2 linked regions of the Neurospora crassa OR74A genome follow. The protein of the gene in region 1 purifies or fractionates together with the protein of each later gene. This does not show direct contact. Links are inferred from orthologs where the notes say so. Each region holds a gene or a part of one and is shown on either strand. Other genes may lie near its edges.

Region 1 (3,984 bases):
CCGACTAGACGCATGAGAAGACGGAGGTGCGGGTTCTTGAACATGGCTGTGCGGCGAGCCTCGGTATCAGGGCGGATCGTGATATGTGGTGGTGCTGATTTGTTGGATCTCTCGTCGGCAGCTTCACCATCAGCCGCCCCCTCGGTAGTGGCTGCCATGGCCTTGTCTACGTTCTCCCATGCTTGCCGCTCACTCATTGCACTTGTCAGCTGATCCTTGAGCCACTGCAGATGCTCGACTTGCTGTTTGTCGATGAGTACGCTGACCGCAATGCCAATCTGCTCGTCGCGCTCTGTGGCTCGCTTGAACTCCAGCTCGGCACCAGGTCGTGGCGTAGTTGTGGTGACAGGCTTCTCATAGCCGTGCTCAAGGAAGTGCGTCGTGCTGCCAATCTTGGAAAAGAGCAACTCGGTGAACAACGCAGGCCGCTCTTGAAGCTTTTTGACACATTTCCGAATGATCTGCTTGGAGAGCTCCTCCCATTCCTTGAACATCGGCGAGCTTTTGTCGAGGGGCTCGGGACCTTGGACCATGTTGTAAAAGAGATTGATGATGTCTAGTCGGAATAGCATGATGCTCAGCTCGAGTTTGAAGGCAACGCGGTAGAAGTAGCGATGAGCGCGCTTCAGCTGTGCGTCGTTCAAATCCCGGTAGAATTTGGTGAAGGCGACAAATGTGTCGACAACACCCTGGGGAGCGAATCGAATGGCGAATTTCCCAAACTCGAACTTGCGCTCCTGAGTGACCCGCTCTGCATGTTGCTCATCGTCCCCAGAATCATCGGCATCATTGTCCTCGGGAACGCCAACGTCTTCTGCTTCCTCACCGGCGGCTCTAGCTGCAGCAACAGCAGCAGCAGCTTTGGCAGCCTTCTTCTTTCGGCGAGCTCGCTTCCGTGAGCGCACCTGCAAATCGACATTTTGCTTAGAGTAACCTTCTAAAATGCGGAGGAAAGTGTGGACAAGCTCGGTCGCGGCATCAAGATATTCGAAGCCTTGATCCTTGTATGTTCGAGCAATATTCGCGATAAGGTCGTGGGTTGTCTCCTCGTAAAAGAGACGGCTCAGGGTGTTTTCGGCAATCTCCTGGTCTTCCTCGTTGGGAGACTCTGACATCTCCTGGACTGTGAGGAAGATCTGGGTGTAACAGCGCATGACGGACGTGAGCAGTTGCCAATCCTTATCACTATAGGACCGGTCAAGCGCACGATTCATGGAAGCGAACATTTCCTGTTGGAGCACAGCAGCAACGAGGTTAAAACTGTTCACCTCCTCTCCGGCTGCGGACGTCGACTTCGACTCGTCCCTCTTGGCCTTTCTCCGCATCCGCTCGGCTTCGAGGAACCAGGCGACAAGGTAAAAGAACTGGCTCTTATGCTGGTTCAATGCATGCAATGCCTCCCGATCGATCGATTGCCTCACGTGCAGAAACAAGGGGTTGAAACCGGAGTCGAGGAAGTCTTGGACGAATGATCGCAGCTGCTGACGAGCTCTTTCATCTAGCGTCACCGGAGGGCCAAGGTCCTTGGGCTCCATCTCGGGTTTCCTCGCTCTTCTTGGCGGTCTGAATGTTTTGGAGTTATCCATCTTCCTCTCTCGCGTTTTTGCGTCCAAAAGAGCCTCTTGGCCAGATACCGTCACCATCTTGCCATCTGCTCGTTTCACCCAGATCATGGTCCCAAATCGACTGTGCCGAGTGGTGGTGGTTTTGTTGTAGGATTTTAGCATAGCAGCCTCCTTGCGCATCTCCGATGCCAGCTCTTGCCCCTTGGCTTTGTTGAGTTGCTTTTCACTGACGAAGAGCGAGCTGGGGTCAACTCTTTTTACAAGATGAAAGATGATTTCCATGATAACTACATCTTCGGTGCGGAAGTCCTCGCCCATGTTGGAGGCAAGGGTCAGCAGAGTGAGAAATATGTCTTGATACGAAAAGGCATCAATGGTTGCCGACCTGGATACCTGTGTCTCGTCGCCTTCGCATTTGACACCTTGCGGGGGTGCGATCATGGCAACGTTCCTCAAAAAGAAGAGAATGAGCTTGATGATGGCCTGGTCACGGGGTGTCCGCTCGCCGATAGGCATGGCCATGGAGGGAAGGGCTACCCTGACGGCGGTGTTGAGGATGGGTATCGCATCGAAGTTTATGATGGCGCGCTTGTAGCCAAGCTGGGCAAGCTGCAGAACGGGCATGTGACGATGGTGGTTGATGGTCATTTCGGCGCGCTCCTTCTCTATGGGCCAAGTAAGGGGCACCATGACCTCGAAACACGCCAGAGCAATACGGGCCTTGTACTTGCTGTCGGTTTCGCTTTGAGGCCATAATGTCAGGATCTGGAGCAGATCGCCGCCGACGAGGTTCGCTTCAGCCAGACATCTGGCGACGTCCATGCGATTGGTCTTTTCATCGTAGAATCGGATCCATTTCTTCAGGTCGCGCAAGACGTCTAGCGCTTCGTCACCGAGCTTGTAGCTTCCATCATCGTCCGCGCTGTAACCACCGAGCTATTCGGGTCGCCAGAGTCAGTACATCCGTGTATATAACGAGTCCAGAAGTGGACATACCGCAGAAACCAGGTTGGTGATGTGCGCCCGCACTTCCGGATGGACGACATCGTCGTTGATGTCTGCGGCCTCCATTTTGCGCAGAAATCACGGCGTCCAAGACCAGAACGGAGTCATACGAGTACTAGACAGACTCTCCCCAACTCTCAGCTTGTCTTGGAGGTCGTTTTGTTATCGCATGGATGGTGGCATTGGTCGGGCGCACTTTGTCGGGACGGGACACGCGTTTGTGGTGGTGGGAGACGCGCCGACCGTGTCGTACTTTTTAATGGAAATTGGTGGTATCTTGGTCTTGGCCTGCTTATCTCCCCAAGCGTTTTGTCGGACTGTTTTAAGATACCTGGGTAAGTAGGTACCTAATGTACCTAGCTACCTACTAGAGATACCTCTGCAGCAGTACCTGTGCACCCCGATTTCGACCTCGTGGAGAGCTGCGGAGTTACCCCTGTGGACGGGCAATCAACGACAGCCGAGGATCTTGAGTTGGCGCGGGAATCATGCCCGCAATTGCCCCCCCTGAACGACATGCTTGTACCTCTAGGTAGCGTACATAGTACTCCATACGCGCTAAAACCGACCCCATTTTCCCCGCCTAAGAAAAGGCTAGAGCCGCCCGTAGCTCCTGTACGGCAGTATGTTATGTCCCCCCCGTGGCCCGGGTCGGGCTTGTGACGTCGAGTTGGAGACGAGGACGGCCGAGGTTAACCGAATCCGACAACTTCACATCGTCGCATTCGCATTCTCTAGAGGTGCCCTGGTTGCCTACCTAGGTGTAGTCTTCCGATTTTTCTGTCCCTTTCCTTTCAGTCTCTCTCAGTCACAGTGTCTGCTTTGTTTACTTTCGCCGTGACGATCTCGCAAAATGCTTGCTAGAACCCTCGTCCAGAAGCTGCCCATGGGCGCTCGCGCCTTCAGCTCGACATGCGCCCGCAACGCTGCCGAGGTCAAGAGGCTCGGTGTCGTTGGCGCCGGCCAGATGGTGAGTCCGGCCCATATCATTCATGCCCATGTCTTCAACAACGGCAACGGCTGACTTGTCCTCCTTCTCCTTTAGGGCCTGGGCATCGCCCTCGTCGCCGCCACCAAGGCCAGAGTCCCCGTCACCCTTGTGGATGCCTCTGAAACGTCTCTAGACAAGGGCCTTGCATTCGCCGACAAGCTCCTCAGCAAGGATGTGGCCAAGCAACGCATCACTCAGGATGAGGCGGACGCCGCCCGCGCGCTCCTCCAGCCCACCACCATCCTCGAGGACCTGGACAGCGTCGATTTTGTGATTGAAGCTGTGCCTGAGATTCCCAAGCTCAAGTTCGACATCTTCTCCAAGCTGGCCGAGATCTGCCCTAAGCACGCCATCTTAGCCACCAACACCTCTTCCATCTCCATCACGCGCATCGCCGCCTCAACCACCAAGGACCCCAACGAC
Region 2 (3,976 bases), about 1.1 Mb from region 1:
GCATGCGGCAGAAGGCTTCGGAGATGCGGATGATGGCTTCCAAGTGACGGACCTAAGGTGGTGGTGGGTGAGGTTAGCAGTTGTTATTGTGTTGTATTTTGTGACGGAGGAAGAAAGAAAAAAAAAAAAAAAAAAAAAAAAAAAAAAAAAAAAAAAAAAAAAAAAAAGGAAAAAGGAAAGAGGGAAGAACTTACAGTAATAGGATAAGCCCCCGTCGCCAAACTCTCCCTTCTCATATCCGCAAACAGCCTCGCCACCTTATCCTCATCCATGTGATACAACTTTGGCTGGCACCGCTCTCGGGCATAAAGGATATACTTCCTCAACAGCTCTTGTGGGATTTCGCCCTCTTTTTTACGGCCGTGTTCACCAGTTTGTTGGGTTTCCGCAGCAGCTTGGGTATCGTGTTCAACCTCCATGGAGTCACCACCGCTAGCGTCCTGCGTGTTGTTGTTCATCAACGGATGACTCCTCGAATGCGACCCGACAATGAAGCGCGCCAGCCGCTCATCTTCTTCAGGCTCGACTGTGTCGCGCACGACGCAAAGGATGTCGAAACGAGACAGAATCGGCTCGGTAAGCTCCACGTTGGCAGAAAAGGGAATGGTAGAGTTGTACCGCCCGCCAATAGGGTTAGCAGCGGCGATGATTCCGCACCGGGCTTGCAGGGTCGTGACGATACCGGCTTTGGAGATAGAGATGGTCTGCTGCTCCATGGCTTCGTGGATGGACGTGCGGTCCTGGTCGTTCATCTTGTCGAACTCGTCGATCAGGCAGGTGCCCTTGTCGGCGAGGACGAGGGCGCCGCCCTCGAGAGTCCATTCGGACGTGAGCGGGTCGCGCCGGACGGAAGCCGTCAGACCGACGGCGGAAGCACCCTGGCCGGTGGCGAAGACGGCGCGGTGGGCCGTCTTTTCGGCGTACTTGAGTACTTGTGATTTGGCGGTACCGGGGTCGCCGAGGAGCAGCACGTTGATGTCACCGCGGATGTGGTGGGCGCCGACTTGCTTGGCGACGCCGCCGAAGAGGGAGAGGGCGACGGCGGTCTTGATGTCGGTGTGTCCGTAGATGGAAGGGGCGACGGAGTTGATGATCTTGTCGACAATGTGCGGGTCGCGCGAGAGACGGCGAATCTCGTGCTCGTCTTCCTCGGTCATGCGGAAGCCGGCGAGCTGGTCGTGGGATTTGACAATGTTGTTGGCTTCGAGGATGGTGGCGAAGACGGGGAAGCCGTTGCGGTTGTTGAGCTGCGCGTCGTAGTTGTTGCGGTAGATGCCCGTTACTTCGATCTCCTCGCCCGGCTTGGCCTTGTCGATCAGGTCCCAGAGGAGAATGACCTCGCGGTGACGGGGCAGACGACCGGCGGGAACGGTGCCGGGGGATTCTTGGAGGGTGAGCTTTTGGTAGTTGCGGTAGACGGTCTTCTCGGAGTTAAGGGTGAAGGGGCCACGAGACTGGCAGGACTGGCAGTAAGAGATCTTGACTTCGACGTTGGACTCTTGCTGGAAGGGACCGAGAGTGACGCCGCACTTGGTGCAGTCGAACTTGACATACTTGAGCTGGGGGAAGACACCGGTGCGGCGGGTGACGACACCGCTCACGCGCACAAGACAGTTGAGGTGCGACTGGCGGAGCTGACGGAGGGTATAATGGATAGGAAGGTCGAAGATACGGACGTGGATCTCGGCGTGAATGCGCTCGTAGTCGGGGTAATGGAGAAGGACGACTTCCATGGCAACCTCGTCGAAGAGCTTGAGCATCTCGGTTGGCGCATTGGCGAGGAAGTATGCGAGAATGGCCTTGGCTGTAGCGAGGTGCTCGTAGGAGACCTCGAGAGACTCGGCGTTGATCTCACCAAGAGTACGGATGCGGTTGCCGTAGACGGACGAACCGCTCTCGTCGGTGTATTCTGTGAGGAAAGCCTTGAACTCTCTGCGGATGGTCTTTTGTACAGCCGGGACTGAGATCCATTCGCTCAAAGTGGCAGCCTTGACATCCATCAGGGCCTCGAGGGGAAGTTCCGAGTCCATAATGTCGCCATCCATATCGACATCGGGGTCTTCATTGTAGCGGATTCTTCGGCGGCGTTCCAGGTTGGTAAGGTCGATATCACCATCGTCGTCATCACCAGGAAGATACGTGGTGCCCATTCCCATCCTCACTTGACGGTCTCTCTGGGCCAACTTGGCTTCAAGACGGCGCCTTGCGGCGGGGTCGAGGGCCTCATACTCGTCATCGTCGATGTCAATTCCTTCGTAGGCGTCGTTTTCGTCTCGTTCCCTATAATCGCGCTCGAAGCCTTCGCGGAACAAATCTACATCGTCTTCGGCCAACTCGTCGAGGTCGTCAATGTCGTCTTCGATTTCAGCGGCGACGTCTTCCTCGATGTCGTCGTCCTCATCTGCGCCATGGGCAACTGGGAAGGCGGGAGGAGAAGAGGGCATGACAGGGCTCGAAGCGCGGGGAAGCGAGGAAGCACCATCGTGATCGTTACGCGCACGCTTGCGAGTGGCCCTGGGAACGGCGCCACGGTTGGCAGAGGACGGGTTGTCGCGAAGCGGGGAACTGGTATTGGAGAGTTTCCGTTAATTCACTGTTTACTTGCGAAGAGAAGCCGTGACAGACGAAAGAGCAAGAGGCACACATACCTCATGATTGCGACTTGGCTGAGGGTATCTCAGAGGACTGTAGCCAGCTACAGATGGAAGAAACAAGAGAGTGGAGGATGCTGGCCTAGTTGTTACTATGGAGAATGAATGCCAGCCAGAAAGAGGATATGTTGCGGGGTGAGACAGAGAGAGAGAAGGGGGGGGGGGGGGGGAGGGGAATGGAGACAAACAGCGTCGAGGAACCACTGAATGAATGTTGCCCTTCGTTGCGGCGACCTTGTCCCTGCTTTTTTCTCGCGTTGCAGTCCAGGGAAGACGCGCCAGACGTGATGCGCTAAGCCGGATAAGGGCGGTCGCGTTAAGTGGTTGCTGAGGTTTAATGGGCTTGGCAATGCGTACCGGACCCACTTGGTGCTGCTCTTACACGCCAATTCGACTCGTCGAGATTCCCAAAAAGTCACAAAAGCTCAAAGTCCAGTGAACAATGACGAGCAAAGCATGAGCTATAAGGTGCTACATACTACAGGGCCATGTTATTGATCGGATCACGTTCAAATAGGTTTCCTTGAACCCAATTCCAATCTGTGCTGCTTGGACATATAGACCACAGTGCCTTACACCAAACCAAGGGTACATTGCAAGCTCGGTCCTTCTCCCCACGCTTCCACCAACGCGCCCTCCTCCTCCTCCTCCCCCTCCTCCTCCTCCTCTTCGCGCCCCAGCAATTGTTTTTTGTTTTAAAGACTTCCGGACAGAACCCATCTTTCGTGATCCAGCACCATCTCGAGGCATTTGTCTTATCAACAATTTTGATAGACCACCGACCATCCAAGATTGACCGTGAAAGCATCCATCACCCATGGACCCTCAACCGGCGCAACAGCCCGCCGAGGCCACTCCAGATGGCCATGGAGCTCCAGCACCAGTCGCGCTCACCAAGACTCGTACTGAAAGCTTCTCCGCCAAGTCAGAAAACTCTCAGACTGCCGCAGAGTATGTTGTCATATATTGGACTTACCACATGACAAAGTACTAACCATGGTCTAGCTTCATCCGCGACCAAATGCAACTAGAGGCCGACGCTCGCGAAGCTCTTCCATACGTGCGTGTCCCTTGTCTTCTCTGCCCTTTTCCTTAAAGTCAATCCTAACCTCCCACCAGAGCATCGAAACCTGCACCAAGCCCCTCGGCCCCCTCCGCCAGGCCGTCTTCTCCTGCCTGACCTGCAACCCACCACCCGCCGACCCGAAAGCGCCCTACAATGCGGCCGGCATCTGCTACTCCTGCTCCGTCCAGTGTCACGGCGAGCACACTCTCGTCGAGATCTTTGCCAAGCGCAACTTCACCTGCGACTGCGGTACCACACG

The links.
Region 2: the proteins of NCU09552 (region 1) and NCU04327 purify together in Saccharomyces cerevisiae (affinity purification with western blotting, with the first as the bait; 3 studies listed by BioGRID). This does not show direct contact. The link is inferred for Neurospora crassa OR74A from reciprocal best matches to the Saccharomyces cerevisiae genes TOF1 and MCM2.

The regions. Positions count from the first base shown.
Region 1 is NC_026505.1:4,564,147-4,568,130, forward strand, and holds the start of NCU09552 (topoisomerase 1-associated factor 1), read right to left. Parts: upstream 2,806-3,984; 5' UTR 2,637-2,805; coding exon 2,562-2,636; intron 2,502-2,561; coding exon 1-2,501. Other genes in the region: NCU09553 (3-hydroxybutyryl CoA dehydrogenase), read left to right, coding at 3,424-3,540, 3,616-3,984. UniProt on the Saccharomyces cerevisiae protein: Forms a fork protection complex (FPC) with CSM3 and which is required for chromosome segregation during meiosis and DNA damage repair. FPC coordinates leading and lagging strand synthesis and moves with the replication fork.
Region 2 is NC_026505.1:5,630,907-5,634,882, forward strand, and holds the start of NCU04327 (DNA replication licensing factor mcm2), read right to left. Parts: upstream 2,806-3,976; 5' UTR 2,654-2,805; coding exon 2,649-2,653; intron 2,566-2,648; coding exon 195-2,565; intron 53-194; coding exon 1-52. Other genes in the region: NCU04328 (metaphase-anaphase transition protein), read left to right, coding at 3,469-3,602, 3,657-3,711, 3,771-3,976. UniProt on the Saccharomyces cerevisiae protein: Acts as a component of the MCM2-7 complex (MCM complex) which is the putative replicative helicase essential for 'once per cell cycle' DNA replication initiation and elongation in eukaryotic cells.